Linked DNA regions of Saccharomyces cerevisiae S288C. The protein of the gene in region 1 binds, or shares a complex with, the protein of each later gene. Each region holds a gene or a part of one and is shown on either strand. Other genes may lie near its edges. A codon is read from its position in the direction of its gene.

What was found.
Region 2: the proteins of AIR2 (region 1) and PAP2 are in contact, whole or in part, in a crystal structure (PDB 3NYB), measured with the Saccharomyces cerevisiae proteins. Residues at the interface, in NP_010106.1 of Saccharomyces cerevisiae: Glu134 (codon at 3,431), Arg135 (codon at 3,428), Cys136 (codon at 3,425), Ile139 (codon at 3,416), Trp140 (codon at 3,413), Arg141 (codon at 3,410), Ala142 (codon at 3,407), Tyr143 (codon at 3,404), Ile144 (codon at 3,401), Leu145 (codon at 3,398), Val146 (codon at 3,395), His160 (codon at 3,353), Tyr163 (codon at 3,344), Cys164 (codon at 3,341), Tyr165 (codon at 3,338), Asn166 (codon at 3,335), Cys167 (codon at 3,332), Gly168 (codon at 3,329), Gly169 (codon at 3,326), Phe173 (codon at 3,314), Arg181 (codon at 3,290), Ser182 (codon at 3,287), Ser183 (codon at 3,284), Arg184 (codon at 3,281), Val185 (codon at 3,278), Pro186 (codon at 3,275), Asn187 (codon at 3,272), Gly190 (codon at 3,263), Ser191 (codon at 3,260), Ala192 (codon at 3,257); in NP_014526.1 of Saccharomyces cerevisiae: Glu174 (codon at 2,457), Ile175 (codon at 2,460), Ser176 (codon at 2,463), Asp177 (codon at 2,466), Phe354 (codon at 2,997), Met357 (codon at 3,006), His358 (codon at 3,009), Pro359 (codon at 3,012), Arg360 (codon at 3,015), Ile362 (codon at 3,021), Thr363 (codon at 3,024), Asn364 (codon at 3,027), Glu365 (codon at 3,030), Ile366 (codon at 3,033), Asp367 (codon at 3,036), Asp370 (codon at 3,045), Asn371 (codon at 3,048), Val374 (codon at 3,057), Ile377 (codon at 3,066), Glu378 (codon at 3,069), Glu381 (codon at 3,078), Leu382 (codon at 3,081), Lys385 (codon at 3,090), Asn386 (codon at 3,093), Phe387 (codon at 3,096), Gly388 (codon at 3,099), Tyr389 (codon at 3,102), Asp390 (codon at 3,105), Asp391 (codon at 3,108), Val392 (codon at 3,111).

Annotation. Positions count from the first base shown.
Region 1 is NC_001136.10:141,689-147,452, forward strand, and holds AIR2 (TRAMP complex RNA-binding subunit), read right to left. Parts: upstream 3,831-5,764; coding exon 2,796-3,830; downstream 1-2,795. Other genes in the region: YDL177C (uncharacterized protein), read right to left, coding at 1-33; GID12 (Gid12p), read left to right, coding at 409-2,535; DLD1 (D-lactate dehydrogenase), read right to left, coding at 4,138-5,764. UniProt on the Saccharomyces cerevisiae protein: Component of the TRAMP (TRF4) complex which has a poly(A) RNA polymerase activity and is involved in a post-transcriptional quality control mechanism limiting inappropriate expression of genetic information.
Region 2 is NC_001147.6:99,538-103,729, forward strand, and holds PAP2 (non-canonical poly(A) polymerase PAP2), read left to right. Parts: upstream 1-1,937; coding exon 1,938-3,692; downstream 3,693-4,192. Other genes in the region: MSN1 (Msn1p), read left to right, coding at 272-1,420; PTH4 (Pth4p), read right to left, coding at 3,780-4,192. UniProt on the Saccharomyces cerevisiae protein: Catalytic subunit of the TRAMP complex which has a poly(A) RNA polymerase activity and is involved in a post-transcriptional quality control mechanism limiting inappropriate expression of genetic information.

The DNA.
Region 1 (5,764 bases):
TATTTTCACTAGCTTACCAACATTCTTACTCATTTCTCCAAAAAATAGTAATACCAAACATCAATACCTATCTAAGAATCTGTATAATGTCTTTTCTAAAGGTTTTTTACAGCTGATGATTGATGCATGACTTATTTCCACAGTGCCGTATTTTCTCAGTTGCCGTTTTGGGTCTGCTTTTCACAATGCGAAGCTTTGTTGAAAAGAGCTCTAAGGTCAAAAACAATAGTAAGCTGATCGGTATTAAGTACTTGCCTTCCTGAAAATTGCTAACAAACATCCAAATATACCTTCCCCATAGTTGAATGGCATCTAATAGAACAAAACCAGGTTAAGATAGGTTTTACTTTGAGTTGTTAAATACACGCAGAAAGCGTCTTTCCACATAATCTGAACATTTTGTTATCGATGGCTACTGGCAGGATTCAATTTGCTGTTTCTACTCCCTGCAATACTAAGGGTAAACCGTCTGGTTATAGGTTATTTGAATTTAAAAACGATCGATTAGCACTGGTCCCATCAGAAAGAGGTTGTACAAAAGTAGATGTGAATGCAAATATACAAGCGTTTTGTTATTTAAGGCCTAATGGTAGAGACACGTCAATATCTCCAGACGCAACGCATATTTTGGACTCATGTGATTACATGGTGCTGGCTAAATCCAACGGATTCATTGAAATCATAAGCAACTATCAATACAAGATAAAAAATGGCCTGCGATTAGCGCCCTCTTATATCCTTAGATGTACTCCGGAAGATTTCGAATCCAATTTTTTTAGTGACTATATGATCGCTGGTCTTGAATATAGTCAAGGTTTATTATATTGTTGTATGTGCTCCGGTCGAATATATGTCTTTGTAATGAACCTTCCCACTGATTACATTCAGTATAAGAACATGTACAACCCCATGTTTCCAGATTGCTTTTTCAAAGTACATCACGATAATAATACAACACATTCTTCAGAAGAAGAAAAATTATTTGAAGGTAGTACGCGGTACACTGGAAGGTCATGCTCTAAGCATATCTGCTACTTCCTTTTGCCTATAGAACCATCCCATTTAAGATCGTCACCCGTGGTATCTTCGTTTTGCAATATGTATCAAGGCCTGCCCATATATAGGCCTTCGATGTATTTACATATAGAACGAGGTATTTCCACATTCCATATAAATCCATTAGACCGGTTTTGTTTCATGACAGTATCGCCACGATCACCACTATTTATAAGGAAAATAATTTTACCATTGACTTATGTTACATTTTTAAGCACCTTTATCAGCCTAAAGAACAGTATACAGGGAGATACATGCGGTGAGATACTTTCGTGGGACAACGTAGCGCAACAAAATGGATTTGGTTCTTTGTTCAGCTGGATTAGTAACAAGTTTACATTCGATACGGATATTATAAATTCAACCATTTGGGATGATATTGTAAAATATTCTGGAACAGGAATGCTGGATTCAGGAATCGTCTGGAAACAGCGTCAAGGTCACGCTAAAGATGACATATATGAGTTATTCCACACTCAAGATATGCTGGGAAGTAGTCGCCGAAATTCTTCATTCAGTACTGCTAGCAGCGAACCGAGACCGCTGAGTCGAAGAAGGAGAGAATCTTTTCAAGCCTTAACTAGAGACGCTTTTAGAGAAAGAATGGATGTACCCTGTTCAACGAAGTGGGAATTAGATTCTTTTATCCGAGGATTAAGAAGGAATACATTTATGGTAGATTTTGAAATTGTTGAAAAGATTTCTCATAGAAATGGAAATGATGGGGTGAATGAAGATGATAACACTACAGATGAAAGTGATGAAACAATGACTTCTTTTCTAACAGATAATTACAAAAAGATGGACATTGTGTGCATCGATCATTTCGTCACGTTGAGTGCATTCCGACCTCGGTACTATGATGAACCAATAATTAAAATCGATTCATTATCGAACAAAAATGGCTCTGAAAATGGAACTAATGAAGAAGAGTGGGCAGAAAGTCAAATGAAGGTGGATGGCCAAGTGATAGATGATGAGACAGCTCAATTCAAGCAGGCATTGGGAAATTTATGTTCATTCAAGAAATTATTTATGCTGGATGATTCTTTATGCTTTATATTGGACACACATGGAGTTTTGTTGATAAATAGATTTGAAATAAAAAATACCAAAAATTTGTTAAGGAATTCCAAGGATACTATTCGGATAATACCCCATGATTTCGGATTGATTAATGATACAATTGTTATAATTAATGATATAGACGTAGGCACAGACAATGTTTGCGCCCTTACGTTTCACTTGGTGGTAACATCAATGGCAGGAGAGATAACTGTTCTTAAAGGCGAATTTTTCAAAAACTGCAGGTTAGGAAGAATAAAACTGTGCGATTCACTAAAGCTAAATAGAAAAGATCGGTTTGTCGACAAACTTGCTCTAATCGATTATGACGGTTTAAATGCACAAAAAAGAAGGTTAGATTACGATGAAAAGGACCTTTATACATTCATTGTGAAAAAGGTAAAAAGAGACTAAATTGAGTTGCATAGATGTTAGCCATAATAGAAAATAGCGTATGAGGTAGCAGGAGTTATAAGACGTATTTACGTATATGTATGTATATGTTATTATTATTACCTGTGATTGCACGAAGGCCTTTTTTTTTCACAACAAGAAGATGTAAGAAATTTACATGCTATTTTGATTAATGGTCGAATTAGGTATTGTCTTTAATCTTTCATTAAGAAAATATAATGTAACCAAGAACAGCTTGTTAAAGGGCTTCCTATTTAAAGTTATCTTCTTTTCCCCAAGGTACCACTCCTATATGGTTGATAAGAATTGTAGTTTCTGTAATTGGAAGAGTTGGAAATGCTGTTATTATCAACATAAGTAGAAGGGTTATATCTGGAGCCATACATATTCTCCGATATCGACGAGACGTTTACTTTTGTATTTTGATACCGTGAATTTTTACTAATATTATTATTGAGTGACAGCGTCTCGCCCCTTATAGTTGGTTGAATGACATTAGACTTTTGATAAGGAGGAGGATGGAAGTTCGATGCTCTACGTTTATTTCTGCCACTATGAGAGTGATCGTTTTGGGAATGTCTTTTATGGGAAGGTCTCGGTAGTGGATCCTCATCGTATATGGACTCACTAAATTGATAGTCTTCATTTTCGTCCGAATTTCTGTTCATGTGACGGTAATATTCCTGTTTTAGCTCAACTGACAAATTAGAACCAGTGAACGCACTTCCATCCTCGTTAGGTACTCTAGATGATCGTTTTTCCTTGCAATCATCACCAAAGTGCCCCTTTCCACCGCAGTTATAACAGTATATAGTATGAAAGGGAAGGACCTTGGGCTTAGCCTTTTCATTATCATCTACTAAAATATATGCTCTCCATATACTAGGACATCTTTCTTTTGAGTGTTTCTTACTCTTACAAAGAGTGCACTGAACTTTTTTCCATTTATGTGGACATTGTGACCTGTAATGACCCACCTCATCACACTTTGAACACTGGATAGCCTTCGGACAATGTCGAGAATAATGATCATCCGTCGCCCCACAGTACGAACATATTATATGGGGACAATCCTTCTTCAAATGACCTCTTTGAGAGCAATTATTACATTTAGGTGCTGCCTCTTTAATGGCATCCTTGTCATCATCGCTTACGCCAAAATATCTACCCTGCCCTCTAAGAGCTCTTAATTCGTTGGGATTACTATTTACTTCCTCTATAGAAGGTGCTACAAGTTTATCTGGAGGAGTTGTGGGTGCCGTATCGACGACAAATGGTGCCGTATTTTTTTCCATGACTGCGAGGAAGTGATGTAAGCTGCTATCGTTGTACAGGTAAGGTTTAATTCTCTCTGATGCTGCCAATAGTCATAACTTTTTTCGAAATGTTTCTTCCCATCCCATTAGTGTTTGAAGGAAAAAAAGGCACTACCCGGATCATGAATACATTTGATGGTAATAATATATATCACATTTTTAAGCATGTATTAGCTACTGGGAAAGGGCATTTTGAAATGGTATGTTTTCTTTAAGGATGAACTATATATATTACATGAAATATATTTCAGGTTTACGTGAAGGGTGAAAAAGGAAAATCAGATACTCACCTGTAATCATTAGCGGGCTCGTTTGGATCAGTTTTAAAGATTTTGTCCGGGTTCATGATTCTCTTTGGGTCAATAGCTAGCTTAATCTTTCTCATCAAATCGACGGGTGCTTCACCTAATTCTTCGAGCAAGTACTCTCTTTTACCAATACCAACACCGTGTTCACCCGTGCAAGTGCCTTCTGCGTTCAGTGCTCTCTTGACCATTCTGTCAACAAGTTGGCTACAGGTTTCGTGTTCTTCAGGGGTTCTGTAGACGATGAATGCATGGAAGTTACCATCACCTGCATGACCAACAATGGCGTTGATCAGCTTACTAGCTTGCATGTCCTTTTTAGTTTCGTGAATAACCTTGTCGAACTGCGACACAGGAACAGCTACATCAGTTGTCCAAATTTTAGCTGATTTGTCTTTGCTCTTATCAGCGTCTAGCACAGACCATAGCGCGACCTTTCTAGCTTCCCATAATTCCAATTTTTCGTCATCATCTTTAGCAAACTGAAAACTGTTGCAGTGATTTAACTGGGCGACAGCCTTAACTTCATCCACAAGAGCATTGACAATGTTGGGAGATCTCCCACCAATCTTGAAAAACATAGTTGGTTTCTCTACCCAATCACATCTGTCCGTGGATTCAGATGCGTTGATCAACTTCATCATATTTTCATCCAGTAACTCCATGGCGTTCAAATGAATACCACTCTGAGTCAGATTAGAAGCACATGCGGCCGCATCCTTGATAGTATCAAAGGATACCACCGCAACAGTTTCAGCTTTGGGCTTGACATGACACTTGACAGTAGCTTCAGTAACAATACCTAAGGTACCTTCACTTCCCACAAATAAACCATTTAAGTTATAGCCAGCGCTCGACTTTCTGGGTCTTTTCTTCGTCTTGACAATGGTCCCGTCCGGCAACACTATAGTCATGTTTATAATATTCTCCTTCATGGTACCGTAACGGTAGGCGTTGGTTCCTGAACAAGAATTAGCAATGCAACCACCAATCTGTGCACCTGGACCAGGGTCACAGCCAAACATCAAACCGTGGTCGCTCAAATAGTCATTCAAATCCTCCCAGGGTAGACCGGCCTGCACGGTGATGTCCAGGTCCAGCTTGTCAAATTTTACGACGTTATTCATAAACTTGGACAGGTCTACGGTTATGGTATCTCCAATTCTTGTAGGCAGGAAGTGCCCCTCCAAGGACGTTCCGCCCGAGAAGGGTACAACTGGCATGTTGTTATCGTGACATATTTTCAAAATTTTGGAAACTTCTTCGGTAGTATGAGGGAATAATATAATCCTAGGTCTTTGCTCGGGAGAGGGGTGATGCGTGTTGAAGTAGGTATCTGAATGGGCGTCCAAATCGGATTTCGCATCAGAGTAGTTTTCAGGCTTGTTTCCCAGCACCTGCTTCAGGTCCTCAACAACCTTATCGATCTTAACCGGGTCGTGCAAATAGTCTGGTGAGTCCAATGAGGACAGCTTTAACGTAGAATTTACTGGGTCGATCTTTTTGACCATTTCCAGCTTCTCTATCAAATCTTCCTTAGTCTCCCTAGAATAGAGGTTCTTAGCGAACAAATAACCGAATAGAGTAGCTGAAGAGGCGATGACAGAG
Region 2 (4,192 bases), on another chromosome or scaffold:
TTACATAAGATAGCTTCTTTGTAAAAGCCGTTCGAAGATTTCGTTTATAGTGATGCTTTTTCTGGAGAGATTTAAGATAATAAGGATATGTGGAAGGAAATGAAAATGTACACCTACAAAGCGTTGATGGTATGGAAACTATCGACCATAGTTTGTTAAACAGGAAATATTTGCTTGAGGGTAAAGTGTTCTGATTCATTATACAAAGCCCCTTGCTTATAAGAAAAGAAACCAAATCAGAAAAGGAGATTATTTCAAGGTAGGCATCGAAATGGCAAGTAACCAGCACATAGGAGCTTCAAACCTAAATGAGAATGAGGCTATATTAACCAACCGCGTTGCTGAGCTGGAAAGGCGTATGTCGATGTTTGAGGGTATATTTCACGCGTTAAGTAACCGTCTCGATCTTCACTTTAAAAAATATGATGTAGTGGTAAACTCCCAACAGCAACAAATCAACGAACTGACCGCGTTTTTATCAACATTGCTGAATGACCAACAACGCCACGCTGAAATTCTCAGTGAAAAATTAAGCGGAACGTTGCATGGGGTGTCAGCTACGTCAATATCCTTAAGCCAAACTCTTGACCCACAAGGCTTCACTGATGGAACTACGGCACCAGGAGCTCCTAGGAATTATACTTCAGTGCCTATGAATAATGATCAAACTGCTCATCCGCAAAATGAAGGAGCTGTTAGTAATGAAACACTTTTTGAGGACATTTTGAATGGAAATTCACAAGAAAATGATAAGAGTCAACAACAAACTAACAGCTCAAATTCTATAAGCCAAGAAAATAATAGCACCAACCCTTCAGTGGACACTCGGTTCAACAAGCCGCAAAATTATAATTCCAATTTAGTCCCATCCTTGGAAGAGTATTCAGCAAATCCACCTAACAATGATGGTGGCCAAAGTCAAGGACTGTACATAAGCAGCAACTCTTCTCAATCACGGCAGTCTCCTAATCTCCAGAAAGTTTCTCCTAACCATGAAAATGCGGTTGAATCAAATGCACAAGAGAGCGTGCCGACATTTGAGGAGGAACAGTATGAGACTAAAACAGGATTGAAACGGAAACGAATAGTCTGCACAAGACCCTTCGAATTTATCAAGTCACCACACTCTGTGATGGAGGTTTGGAAGGAGTATACAGAAGGTGTTAACGGGCAGCCTTCTATAAGGAAAATGGAAGCTCTTTATCAAACGGCATGGAGGCGAGATCCAGCAGTAAATAAAAGATATTCGAGAAGAAAGGTTCTTTGGAAAGCCATTCAAACTGGCCTTAATCGTGGGTATTCATTAAACTATGTTGTTGAAATATTAGAAAACTCAAGATATGTTAATGATAAACAGAAGGTTAAACAACCTATTGGTTGGTTATGCCACAGTTCTCATATTCCAGAGACTTTGAAGTGACATTTGCTTCTTGTGTATTCACCTTTATCCCAAATTAGCCCTTGTAACACTTATGCTTTTCTTAATAAATTAATAATTGGACTTTCCTTTAAAGTGGGTTGTATCTGTAACAATAATCTCTAATAATATCCTATAAAACTCAGAAGTCAGCCAACAACAATTGTATACGTATACATATCTATATAATATGCCTTGTACTTTACGCTCTTGAATTTAGAATAGCTGAACACCTAACTGAATTTAAGTAAAGGATCCCAAGCGTGAGATATTTAGGTTTACTCAGTTTTCTTATCTTGCCTTTTGATTATCACGTTGAGTGTCGAAGAAACCTGTATTCATCCTCGGCTTCTTGTATATGATTCTAAAATAATGTGTGAAAAAAAAAATAAAATAAAAAAAAGAGGAAAATAATATAGAATAACTATTAAGTTTCATTAAAAAAAAACCATTTGAATATACGACCAAAAACGTTACGCTTTCATAAAGTGTGAATAAGCAAGGGAACTATACTTGAAATATGGGGGCAAAGAGTGTAACAGCCTCTTCTTCAAAGAAGATTAAAAACCGGCATAATGGGAAAGTGAAAAAGAGCAAGAAAATCAAGAAAGTACGGAAACCACAGAAGTCTATATCCTTGAACGACGAAAACGAAGTAGAGATTTTACCTAGTCGTAATGAGCAAGAGACAAATAAATTACCTAAAGATCACGTCACGGCGGATGGAATTCTTGTATTAGAACATAAATCTGATGATGATGAAGGATTCGATGTCTACGATGGACATTTCGATAACCCTACTGATATTCCCTCGACTACTGAAGAAAGTAAAACGCCTTCATTAGCAGTGCACGGGGATGAGAAGGATCTTGCTAACAATGATGATTTTATCTCTCTTTCTGCTAGTTCTGAGGATGAGCAAGCCGAACAGGAAGAGGAGAGGGAGAAACAAGAATTAGAAATTAAAAAAGAAAAGCAAAAGGAAATCCTTAATACTGATTATCCATGGATTTTAAATCATGATCACTCCAAACAGAAAGAAATCTCGGACTGGCTAACCTTTGAAATCAAGGATTTTGTTGCCTATATCTCACCAAGTCGTGAAGAAATTGAAATTCGTAATCAAACCATAAGTACAATAAGAGAGGCTGTCAAACAGTTATGGCCAGATGCTGATTTGCACGTGTTTGGATCATATTCTACCGATTTGTATTTGCCTGGTTCCGATATTGATTGCGTGGTAACGAGCGAACTTGGTGGTAAGGAAAGTAGGAATAACTTGTATTCGTTAGCAAGCCATTTAAAAAAAAAAAATTTGGCAACAGAGGTTGAAGTTGTCGCCAAAGCTCGCGTTCCAATCATCAAGTTTGTTGAGCCACATTCAGGGATCCACATAGATGTTTCATTTGAGAGAACAAATGGTATTGAAGCAGCAAAGCTTATTAGAGAGTGGTTGGACGATACCCCCGGCCTGAGAGAATTAGTCCTTATCGTAAAACAATTCCTACACGCAAGAAGACTAAATAATGTGCATACCGGTGGTCTTGGTGGGTTTAGTATTATATGTCTTGTCTTTTCCTTTTTGCATATGCACCCACGTATAATAACTAACGAAATAGATCCAAAGGACAACTTGGGTGTGCTCCTGATAGAGTTTTTTGAACTTTATGGGAAAAATTTTGGTTATGATGATGTTGCACTGGGATCATCGGATGGATATCCAGTATACTTTCCAAAATCGACATGGAGTGCTATTCAGCCTATTAAAAATCCATTTTCATTGGCCATTCAAGATCCAGGTGATGAATCAAATAACATCAGTCGAGGGTCCTTTAACATTCGAGATATTAAAAAGGCATTTGCTGGTGCTTTTGATCTGTTGACGAATAGATGTTTTGAATTACATTCAGCAACTTTTAAGGATCGATTGGGGAAAAGTATATTGGGAAACGTGATCAAATATCGTGGAAAGGCAAGAGATTTCAAGGATGAAAGAGGTCTAGTACTGAATAAGGCTATTATTGAAAATGAAAACTATCACAAGAAACGTAGCAGAATAATTCATGATGAAGATTTTGCCGAAGATACAGTTACCTCCACAGCCACCGCTACCACAACAGATGATGATTATGAAATAACGAACCCACCTGCTAAGAAGGCTAAAATAGAAGAAAAACCTGAAAGTGAACCGGCCAAGAGAAATAGTGGAGAGACATATATCACTGTCTCTAGCGAAGATGATGATGAAGATGGATATAATCCTTATACCCTTTAATATGTGCCTTTTTGTTTAAATGATGCACTGAACTGTACATCACTGTGTACCTGGATAGAATGTGTGTTTAAATATGCGTATTATGTATTAATAATTGAATTTAATTTTACTTCTGTTTTTCTTTTTATCGCTGTGAACTTTTTTGTCAAGAAGTCGCTCTTTGTTGGCTTTCTCTTTTATTTTATTCCATTTCTTTGAGGTCTCAGCAGTGGTATCATTAGGAAATTGGCACGTTTGCCGAATTTCTTGAACCAACTTCTCGAAGCATTTTAATTTGTTGGTTTCCCTTGACCTAGTTTCATCAGATTGAATTACTATAGAATCGCTGCCCTTAGCGTAGTATCGAAACCTGCCGCTACTTAAGATGTTTCTCACTTCCTGAGGAATCCAAGCACAGTTTGATAAACCAGAAAGTGTCAAAGTACATTTACTATTTACCTTATTAACGTTTTGGCCTCCTGGCCCGCTGGCTCTATCGTAACGTAAAATAAATTGATTTA